3 linked regions of the Macaca mulatta genome follow. The protein of the gene in region 1 purifies or fractionates together with the protein of each later gene. This does not show direct contact. Links are inferred from orthologs where the notes say so. Each region holds a gene or a part of one and is shown in the gene's direction. Other genes may lie near its edges.

What was found.
Region 2: the proteins of CDC26 (region 1) and ANAPC7 purify together in Homo sapiens (affinity purification with mass spectrometry; 5 studies listed by BioGRID and IntAct, with this or other methods). This does not show direct contact. The link is inferred for Macaca mulatta from reciprocal best matches to the Homo sapiens genes CDC26 and ANAPC7.
Region 3: the proteins of CDC26 (region 1) and NEK2 purify together in Homo sapiens (affinity purification with mass spectrometry; 3 studies listed by BioGRID and IntAct, with this or other methods). This does not show direct contact. The link is inferred for Macaca mulatta from reciprocal best matches to the Homo sapiens genes CDC26 and NEK2.

Annotation. Positions count from the first base shown.
Region 1 is NC_133420.1:45,041,190-45,045,405, forward strand, and holds the start of CDC26 (anaphase-promoting complex subunit CDC26), read left to right. Parts: upstream 1-1,379; coding exon 1,380-1,460; intron 1,461-4,216. UniProt on the Homo sapiens protein: Component of the anaphase promoting complex/cyclosome (APC/C), a cell cycle-regulated E3 ubiquitin ligase that controls progression through mitosis and the G1 phase of the cell cycle.
Region 2 is NC_133416.1:117,550,571-117,554,137, reverse strand, and holds part of ANAPC7 (anaphase-promoting complex subunit 7), read left to right. Parts: intron 1-1,998; coding exon 1,999-2,116; intron 2,117-3,492; coding exon 3,493-3,567. UniProt on the Homo sapiens protein: Component of the anaphase promoting complex/cyclosome (APC/C), a cell cycle-regulated E3 ubiquitin ligase that controls progression through mitosis and the G1 phase of the cell cycle.
Region 3 is NC_133406.1:69,400,941-69,404,436, reverse strand, and holds the end of NEK2 (serine/threonine-protein kinase Nek2), read left to right. Parts: intron 1-2,147; coding exon 2,148-2,374; 3' UTR 2,375-2,946; downstream 2,947-3,496. UniProt on the Homo sapiens protein: Protein kinase which is involved in the control of centrosome separation and bipolar spindle formation in mitotic cells and chromatin condensation in meiotic cells.

The DNA of each region.
Region 1 (4,216 bases):
AAACAAAACAAAATGGTTTTTGTTAACACAGTATTACCTCGGGATTTCAGGCTGTGGAATGCTCTTTTGAACCTCTTTTCTTCTTCTTCTTTTTTTTTTTTTTTTCTGAGTTGGGGTCTTATGGTGAGATCATGGCTCACTGTGGCCACCTCAAACTCCTGGGCTCAAGTGATCCTTCCATCTCAGCCTCCTGAGTAGCTAGGACTACAGGTACACACTACCAGCCTAGCTAATTTTTTTACTTTTTTGTAGAGACAGGGTCTTGCTATGTTGCCAAAGCTGGTCTTGAGCCTCCTTGTGCACTCTTCTCTCTGCCTGCCCTTCAGAAGTCAACTAAGATATCATTTTCTCCAGGAAGGCTTGCCTGACATCCTTGTCCACCCCACACTCAGCCCAGACTGGATTAGGTGCCTGTGTGATGCCAGTGCCAGTATCCTCATTAGGGTTCTCGTTATATGATATCACAGTTTTCTTTATTTTCCCCACAGATTATGACTGTACCTTTTAATTCTGTAGCTGGAGCACAAGAAGTGTTTGTTTAATGAATGACGTACACACATTTAGGATCTGTTTGGACGCTGAGGATAATCCTGTGAATTGGTGAGTTGGAGTCTTCATGAGATTTAGCAAACTGATTTTAGCATTCAGGAGTGATCACAAATCTCTGACAGTTCTCACGTAGAGTAGATTAAATTCACTGGTTTGTCCACTTTCCCCTCTAACTATACTGAGATGTGATAGTTTATTCTTTTAGCTAGAGTATTTCTTTGAATGTGACTAGAACATGAGATTAAAGTGATAGTTTGCTATTTTAAATTCTTACTGAAAGAGTTTTTGATTTTACAGAGCTGTAGATCTCCATAATGTAATAAAAATGTAATAATCATATACCTAAAGACTTTAGAAGTTGGCTGGGTATAGTAGCTCTTGCCTATAATGCCAGTACTTTGGGAAAATGAGGAGGGAGGAACACTTGAGCCCAAGAGTTTGAGACCAGCCTGGGCATCAGAGAGAGATCCCATTTCTACAAAAAACACAAAAATTAGCCAGATATGGTGGTGTACACCTGTAGTCCCAGCTACTCTAGAGGCTGAGGCAGTAAGATTGCTTGAGCCCAGGAAGTTGAGGCTGTAGTGAGCTAAGGTCATGCTACTGTGCTCCAGCCTGGGCAAAGAGCAAGATCCCATCTCTTAAAAAGACTTTAGAAGTCTGTGTGAATTCAAATAAAGTTTTAATACTTCCATTCACTTTAGTACACAGGCTTGCAAACTGATTTTATGTTTTGTATCTGAGACTTTATTACCTTCAGTTTTTCCTCCTCTCTTTCATTTTTATCAGCTAATAGTTCACTGGGTTTGGCCCTTAGTGTTGACTTCAGTATGCTGAGACGAAAACCAACACGCCTAGAGCTAAAGCTTGATGACATTGAAGAGTTTGAGAGCATTCGAAAGGACCTGGAGGTATGAATACAACTTTGTGTTTTTTTGAGATGGAGTCTCGCTGTGTCACACAGGCTGGAGTATAGTGGCATGATCCTTGGCTCACTGCAACCTCTGCCTCAGCCTCCCAAGTAGCTGGGACTATAGGTACATGCCAGCATGCCCGGGTCATTTTTGTGTTTTTAGTAGAGACGGGATTTTGCCATGTTGGGGCCAGGCTGGTCTCCAACTCCTGACCTCAAGTGATCCATCCGCCTCAGCCTCCCAAAGTGCTGGGATTACACATGTGACCCACTGCACCCAGCCAGTGATTGATTGCAGAAATCATGTCTGTTTGCATCACCATTTCCTACCATCTAGCTCATGGTAGGAGCCCCATATGTATTTTTAAGTGTGGCCTTGCTACATGGTATTAGATGTCCATTAATAAGACTTAAATTATTCAGTGGTCTACAGAATAAATTCCAAATTCCCTAGCATGGCATATGAGGTCCTTTGTGAGCTGGTCCTTGCTTATCTCTCCACTTTCACTGCTGGGTTATCTTTAATCTCAATGCCTATACACAAGTGTTCCCTTTGCCAGAAAAGTCCTTTATTTTTCTTTGCCAGGCTAACTCTTACTTCTTCCAGCCCCCAGCTGGGTTAGGCTCAACCTCATCCTCCTGTGCTAACCTCTCTCATAAGCACTGTTAGTCTCTGTTGTAATTGTCTGTTTGCTTTTGTTTTCCCTCACTGGGCCATAAGCTCCTTGAAGTCAGGGATTAGTATATTTCTGTCTGCATCTGTTCCCTGCAATACCAGGCCCAAAGGAGGGCTCAATACAAGTCTATTTTCATTTGCTGTCCTAGCAGATATCTTGTACTATATGGCAGAGGACAGTACATTTTGCATGTATTTACCAACAGCTTTATTATGGATTGTATATGCTTCATATTAAGACTAATAACTTAGATTTCTTCCCCCTGCTTCATCCCAAGACACTTTAGTGTTCTCGAAGCATCATAATTTCTGCTTTTAAAAAACTCATATATTATTAAGGATGAGCTTTAAAGTATGGCTTAAACTTCAGTTGTTACAAATCTCATAAAATGCTAGCATGCCGAACTTTGACTCTACAGAGTCAGCTCACTATTGAGTTAGTCTTTTCACCAAAGGCAGTTATCTAGTGGGTTTTGCCCTGTTTTAGAGTAACTTAGGAAGCAGGGACAGTCATGCCCTAAAGTGAAACCAGTAGAAAACTGGCCTGTTTCATTTATTACCAACATGAGTTTGATTATCTACTGTGACTCTAGCTTCTGAAACAGCAGTTGCTCAAAGTGGGAACCCTTTTAAGTGATTTCATTCCACTTGGATATTCTCAGAATGATAGAGTTGTTTGCCTTTTAGAACTTGTTTTCACAAAGATATTTAGGTAGAACTTTCTAACATCACTTACTAGTAATCAGGAAGGTCATTTGCCACATAAAAGGCAATACCTTATTTTATTCACTGTAATACTTTGTGAGTGTTGGCATTTATTTTATTTTTTATTTTTATTTTTGAGACAGGGTCTTGCTCTGTCGCCCTGCTGGTGTACAGTGGCATGATCACCACTCACTGCAGCCTCTACCTGCCAGGCTCCAGTGATCCTACCACGTCCGGCCCCCTGAATAACTGGGAATACAGGCATGTGCCACTATGCCTGGCTAATTTTTAAATTTTTTGTGGGCCGGGTGTGGTGGCTCACGCCTGTAATCCCAGCACTTTGGGAGGCCGAGGCAGGCGGATCACGAGGTCAAGAGACCATCCTAGCTAACATGTTGAAACCCCATCTCTACTAAAAATACAAACATTAGCTGGGTGTGGTGGCATGCACCTGTAGTCCCAACTACTTGGGAAGCCGAGGGCAGGAGAATCGCTTGAACCTGGGAGGTGGAGGTTGCAGTGAGCCGAGATGGCGCCACTGCACTCCAGCCTGGTGACAGACCGAGACTTGGTCTGAAGAAAAAAAAAAAATTTGTGGGGACAGATGGAGTCTCACTATGTTGCCCAGGCTAGTGTCAAACTCCTGGGCTCAAGCAGTCCTCCCAAAGCAGTGGGATTTACAGGCATGAGCCACTGCGGTCAGCCCGATGCTTGGCATTTAAATGCCCACAGTCCAGCAGCAAGTGGTGAAGAATGGTGGTAATTCCAGTGATTTGAGTAGCTGAGCCATTCTATTATTATTAAGGAATTTTGGATAAAACATCATTTCACTCTCTTAGAGAAAGTTATCATCTGTTGTCCTTACAGTCAGGTAGTGGCAGTTACGGGATAAGTGTTTCTTTTTGAAAATGATCAAACTGAGACATACTTTGTGGATTCTGCAGTCACATGTGACTTAAGAACCAAACCTTTTATCTGAAAACAAAATGAAGCCACAAAACCCAGACCTTTTGATAAGATAGCATAAAACCTTCTCATGTTACTTTTAATCTCATGGGATCAGTTAGGCTATAGATTTTTGGTGGTTATTTCTTTACCAGTCAATTTATTTTTCTGTCTATTCTCTAGAATAATAAATTTGTTGAAATACCCTTTGCTCCCCCTTGTCTGCTCTTACATCTTTCCAGTTGTAGCTTCCTGTTGTACCACCACACCCCAACTCCTTACCTCGTCTCTTTGGCAGTGTTGACTTCCCTCTGTCATAGGTCATAGCCCGGATCACCCTATAATCGTCTCTTTGGCTGTTTACCTATTAGACTGTGACATCCTGGAGGGCAGGGGTTACATCTTTTTTTTTTTGAGATGGAGTCTCA
Region 2 (3,567 bases), on another chromosome or scaffold:
GAGGTGGTGATCTTTAATGAACTACATTTTGGATAGAACTACAAGTTTTTTGGGAATAGGCCAACTTTTTCTGAGACTGACTGGCTTTTCAGCAGCATGTTTCTGATGGTCTAGAACTCTTGAAAGAGGAACCTTACTTGATGCCTTTTTTTGGGCCTTTTCTGGTTGGGTTGGGTTCGGGTAGCTGTATATCACGCCACAGGAGAGAGGGGCAAACACTTCCTGAAAATTGCAGGCTTTCAAATTGTGAGGTAGGTTGTTCTGCTCCTTTGTTTTTTTGTTTTGTCTTTTTTTTTTTTTTGTGAGACAGAGTCTCACTCTATCGCCCAGTCTGGAGTGCAGTGACGCGATCTCGGCTCACTGCAACCTCCACCTCCCAGGTTTAAGCAGTTCTCTGCCTCAGCCTCTTGAGTAGCTGGGATTACAAGTGTGTGCCACCATGCCCAGCAAGTTTTTGTATTTTTAGTAGAGACAACGTTTCACCACCTTGGCCAGGCTGGTCTTGAACTCCCGCCTCGGCCTCCCAAAGTGCTGGGATTATAGGCGTGAGTCACCATGCCCAGCCTCCTTTGGTTTTTGGTTTTGTTTTTGTTGTTAGAGACAGGGTCTCACTCTGTCACTCAGGCTGGAGTGGCTCAAACATAGCTCACTGCAGCCTTGACCTCCTGGGCACAAGCAATCCTCCTGCCTTAGCCTCCTGACTAGCTGGGACCAAAGGCATGTGCCACTGTGCTTGGCTAATTTTTTTTTCTTTTTATTTTATTTTATTTATTTACTTTTTTAGACATAGTCTTACTCTGCCGCCCAGGCTGGAGTACAGTGGTGCAATCTCGGCTCACTGCAGCCTCCGCCCTCCGAATTCAAGCAGTTCTCCTGCCTCAGCCTCTTGAGTAGCTGGGATTACAGGCGCCTGCCACTGTACCCAGCTAATTTTTTGTATTTTTAGTAGAGACGGGGTTTCACCATCTTGGCCAGGCTGGTTTTGAACTCCTGACCTCGTCATCCACCTGCCTTGGCCTCCCAAAGTGCTGGGATTACAGGCATGAGCCACCACGCCTGGCCCTTCTTTTTTCTTGAGATGGAGTCTCGCTCTGTAGCCAAGGCTGGAGTGCAATGGTGTGATTCGGCTCGCTGCAACCTCCGCCTCTCTGGTTCAAGCGATTCTCCTGCCTCAGCCTCCTGAGTAGCTGGGATTACAGGCACACGCCACCATGCCCAGGTAATTTTTGTATTTTTAGTAGAGATGGGATTTCACCTGTTAGCCTGTTCTCGAACTCCTGACCTCGTGATCTGCCTGCCTCAGCCTCCCAAAGCGCTGGGTTTACAGGCATGAGCCACCACACCCAACCACTTGGCTAATATTTTAAAATTTATGTGGAGAACAGGGTCTTACCATATTGCCCAGGCTGGTCTTGAACTTCTGGGCCCAGGTGATACTCCTGCCTCCGCCACCCAGAGTGCCAGGATTACAGGTGTGAGCCACCATGCCCAGCTGGGTTTTGCATTTTCTTTTTTTTTTTTTTTTTTTGAGACAGAGTCTCAGTCTGTTGCCCAGGCAATGCAGTAGCGTGATCTCGGCTCACTGCAACCTACGCCTTCCTGGTTCAAGTGATCCTCCTGCCTCAGCCTCCCAAGTAGCTAGGAGTACAGGCACGTGCCACTATGCCCGGCTAATTTTTTGTATTTTTAGTAGAGACAGGGTTTCACTGTGTTAGCCAGGATGGTCCTGATCTCCTGACCTCATGATCCACCTGCCTTGACTTCCTAAAGTGCTGGGATTACAGGTGTGAGCCCCTGCTCCTGGCCTGGGTTTTGCATTTTAATAGTCACTTTGTAGGAAACTGGAAATAGTAGTGGGAGGAGCCTGTGATGGTGTAAAGGGCTTAGCCCCTGCAGGAGCTGGGGCCTCAACATGGGGTCTGATATTGGGTGCTACTCCTGTATGTGGGACCCCTGCTTCTCTGCTTAAAACACCTCTTCTGTGTCCTCCTTTTCTAGGAATGGATGTATATGGCTACCTATTGGCACGAGAAGGGCGGCTGGAGGATGTTGAGAACCTTGGATGCCGCCTTTTCAATATCTCTGATCAGCATGCAGAACCGTGGGTGGTTTCTGGGTATGATTATGCCTTCTTTCTCCCCAGTTGTCAGTAGATTAAGAGATTGTGGTTGCTCCTGAAGAGAATATAAATTGAAAGCTCAGGTTTAAGAGGTAATCGCCTGGCCAGGCATGATGGCTCATGCCTGTAATCTCAACACTTTGGGAGACTGAGACAGGCGGATTGCTTGAGGCCAGGAGTTCGAGACGAGCCTGGCCATCGTGGCAAAACCCGTCTCTACTAAAAATACAAAAGTTGTGTGCGGTGGCTCACGCCTGTAATCCCAGCACTTTGGGAGGCCAAGGTGGGTGGATCGCTTGAGGTCAGGAGTTTGAAACTATCCTGACCAACATGATGAAACCCCATCTCTACTAAAAATACAAAAATTAGCCAGGTACGGTGGTAGGCATCTGTAATCCCAGCTACTTGGGAGGCTGAGGCAGGAGAATTGCTTGAATCTGGGAGGCAGAGGTTGCAGTGAGCCAAGATCACACCATTTCACTCCAGCCTAGGTGACAGAGCAAGACTCCATCTAAAAAAAAAAAAAAAAAGTCGGGCATGGTGGCGCACGCCTGTAATCCCAGCTACTCGGGAGGCTGAGACAGGAGAATCGCTTGAACCCAGGAGTCAGAGGTTGCAGTGAGCCAAGATCGTGCCACTGCATTCCAGATGGGTAGCAGAGTGAGTTTTTGTCTCAGAAATAAATAAATAAAATTAAAAGAGGTAATTACTTGAGGCCAGGAGTTTGAGACCAGCCTGGGCAGTGTAGCAAGACTCTCTCTCTCTCAATCTCTCTCTCTCTCTCTCTCTCTCTCTCTCTCTGTCTCTCTCTCTCTCTCTCTCTCTCTCTATATATATATATACACACACACACACACATATAAGTATATGTATATATTTTTAAAAGGATAATCAGTCCTGGATTCAAATCATGGTTTATGACTCTGGATGCATTATTTATCTATCTAGGTCTGTATTCTCATTTGGAAAATGGGCTAATAACCTCTCCTTCTAGGGTTAAGCATTAACTGAGTTGGTGAATGCGTTGTGCTTAGTACTGAGCCATCAGTGATGGGGCCAGAAGATGCTCCTTTGTTATTAACCTGGCTTTACAAATTCTCCTAATGCCTCTCTGCTAATAACTAATATCTAGATCATAGGTTCTTTTTCATAATTTGTCCCTTCTGTATCAAGATTTCCCCTTAAAAATAAATATTTAGTGGATTTTTTGGTTTGTTTTGCTTTTCTACTAATATCATAGGTTAAAACTGTAAGTGTGGTTTGGAATAAGGATTATGTTCAGGGCCTTCAATATGATTTTTGGATGAAGTTTCTTTGTAGTCTTCTCTTAAATAACTTCTGGGGTTTTTTTGTTGTTTTTTTGTTGTCTCCAGCTGTCACAGCTTCTATAGCAAACGCTACTCACGGGCCCTCTATTTAGGAGCCAAGGCCATTCAGCTGAACAGTAA
Region 3 (3,496 bases), on another chromosome or scaffold:
GATGATCACAATAACTTTGTAGTGAACAAGTGATGGAAAGAAATGAAACTACTGATAGAAGTAAATGAAACAAAGATTGTATGAAACTTTGGCTTGATCTCTGTTAAGATACCTTCTTTTTTCTCAATATTGCCATCTACCATTTCAATATTATAAACATATTTATTTTGGCTTTTCATAGATTCCACACTGTCATCCATAAAGACAAAGTATACTTAAATCATGATTAGGGTGATAAAATGAGGAGAAAATTATACTGGATGAATTTCATGCATCAAACCCATTGCAGGAAATTACTTAAGACCCTGTTGGGGATGGCTTTTCAGTTAAAGAGTTTATTTACATTTGCCCTGATAGTCTTTGAGCAAAAGATGAAAATAGCTAAGTAAGCATGATGTGTTTTACTTTATAGGATACACAGATAAGTATGGGAATCTACTTATATGTGAATCATGGCAAGTATTTAAAATGAGCCATAGGAATCAAGTATCCACTGGGGCAAGCAGACATTTTAGAGTATTGAGTGCTGAAAGTAGTGAACACATCAGAGCTATAAGATAAGCATCATAGCAGTGGGGAGCTGGTACTATTCTGAACTCAGGACAGTTGGAAATATCCTCTCCCCATCCTTGGGCTATAAAATCCACACATGAGGAAGCCATCACAAGTGTATTGAAATCATCACAGCAAGCAGCAGTATCTTTTTTTAAAACTTTTCTTTTCTTATTTGATGAAATAGTCATTATTCTATTTAATGGAAGAATTTTAAACATTTTTTAAAAACACTTTTTTCTTATAAAACTATCCCATTAAGAGCCAGGTGTGGTGGTGCACCTATAGTCCCAGCTACTCTGAGGGCTCAGGCAGGAAGATCACTTGAGCCCAGGCGTCCGAGGCTGTAGTGCACTACAGCTGCACCTGTGGATAGCCACTGCACTCCAGCCTGGACAACATGGCAAGACCCCATCTCAAACAAAAACAAAACTATCCCGTCAGTAAGACAATGTTGACTTACAAATCTATAGGTATTTGTGATAATAAGAAGGTGGATAGATTTGAAACAGTGGAGATAAAGTCTAAAGGCAATCCAGTTTGCTTTGAAGCAGAAGCGATGTATGAAGCAGGAATTCATAGGACCCTTGGAAGGCAGTGCATCTGTGTGCCAGCATTTCCTATTTCTTCTGCCTGGAGCACTCTTCATCCAGATAGCCCTGTGGCTTCTTACTTCAGAAATGACCGTATGAGGCTTTGTATCATTACACCTACCACCCAGCATGTCCCTGTTTCCAGGGTTATTTTTCCTAATAGCACATATTACCATCAAATATTCCCCACCAGTACTTGTTTATTTGTGTTTGGTTTATCTCCTCCTACTAGAATAGGGCCTGTTTGGTTCACAGTGGCCCATCCTATGAGCTCAATAAATATTTGAACATACAGAGGAAAAATAAAAAGATCTAGAATCTGTTTAGGCCTCCAGCCCCTACTAATTCTGTCAGCAGTTAATAGTGTTGCCACTTTAAGTAAATAAGATTATTATTTATTTTTTCCATGAAAAGAATAGTTTACATTTTTTACTACTCTTACTTGATTTATGTTTTCCACACCGAATTTGTTTAGGTTTTTTGGAGACAAATTTCTGGTCAGTTAAGATGCTTTGAACTAAGTTCTTGAACATTTAACCAAAACTGTAGGTGTTCTCTATTTTAAAAAATATATACAAAAAGCAAAAACCAAAAAAAAACCACAAACTGTGCTTCTATACTTTTCTGTAGGTAAGGTGTTCTGCATAGAATGGCACTTATTTTCAAGGATAGAGATAAATAACATTGATTTCCAAAAGTTTTATATTGTCCATAATACTCAGTGTGTTTAACTTTAAGAGTAAAATTGATTGTTCGTTGTTAAGAGAACAAAACTTATGTTCCTTGAATTTCGGCACATTCCAATATTTTTTCAATGCTGTGGATTAAAAGGCTGATTTCTGCCGGTCCTACACCCCTAACCTCCCATCCCAGAGAAAATAAAACAGGTACCTAGATTTCAAATGTGAACCATAAGAGCAAATACTTTTTGATAAGTATAAGTATGAAGGAGTTGAACTCTGTTCAAGTAACTCAAAGCCCTTTTTCTTTTTCCTTCTAAAGAACTTCTTAATCTTCCATCCTCAGTAATTAAGAAGAAAGTTCATTTCAGTGGGGAAAGTAAAGAGAACGTCATGAGGAGTGAGAATTCTGAGAGTCAGCTCACGTCTAAGTCCAAGTGCAAGGATCTGAAGAAAAGGCTTCATGCTGCCCAGCTGCGGGCTCAAGCCCTGTCAGATATTGAAAAAAATTACCAGCTAAAAAGCAGACAGATTCTGGGTATGCGCTAGCCAGGTAGAGAGACACAGAGCTGTGTACAGGATGTAATATTACCAACCTTTAAAGACTGATATTCAACTGCTGTAGTGTTATATACTTGGTTCCGTGAGCCACACCTTTTTGTATAGTACACGTGATATTTCGGAATTGGTTTTGCTGTTCTTCAGCAACTATTGTACAAAATGTTCACATTTAATTTTTCTTTCTTCTTTTAAGAACACATTATAAAAAAATACTTCTTGCTTGGGCTTTTTTAATCCTGTGTGTGATGACTAGTAGGAACATGAGATGTGACATTCTAAATCTTGGGAGAAAAAAAATAATGTTAGGAAAAAAATATTTACGCAGGAGTAGCAGTCACTGAATAGTTTTAAACGACTGAGTGGTGTGCTTACAATTGTTATATATAGATTTAAATTTTAAGTCTGAGATTTTAAATGTTTTTGAGCTTAGAAAACCTATTTGGATGCACTTTGGTCATTAATACCATGACATCTTGCTTGTAAATATTCCATTGCTCTGTAGTTCAAATCTATTAGCTTTGTGAAAATTCATCACTGTGATGTTTGTATTCTTTTTTTTTTCTGTTTAACAGAATATGAGCTGTCTGTCATTTACCTACTTCTTTCCCACTAAATAAAAGAATTCTTTAGTTTCCCTGTATTTATGTGTCTTGCATTTGTTGGTCTCTTAGTTGATGGGAGTTGTGTTTATGATTTATAGGTCTTCATCATAGGGTATGGAAGGAAACATGGATCTGATGCTCAAGAGAGTGGCATTCCAGTCCTAAACTATATGGCGCTTTACCTCCCATCTCGTTAATCCATGTATGTAAGCCAGTGGTCCTGAACAGGGTGATTTTGCTCCTCAAGGGACATTTGGCAATGCCTGGGGGTGTTTTTGATTGTCATGATTTGGGGTAAGGTGCTACTGTCTGCTAGTGGGTGCAGGCCATGGACATTTTACATTGTAAACATTTTACAATGCACAGCACAGCCTCTGACAACAAAATGTCAAATGGGTTTGGATCATATTCCTAAATGACACAATTTCAAATGCTAAAATTCCGAAAGACCAAAATCCCTAATGTCTTAAATCCCAAAAGATCAAAATCCCTAACGTGTGAACTTCCA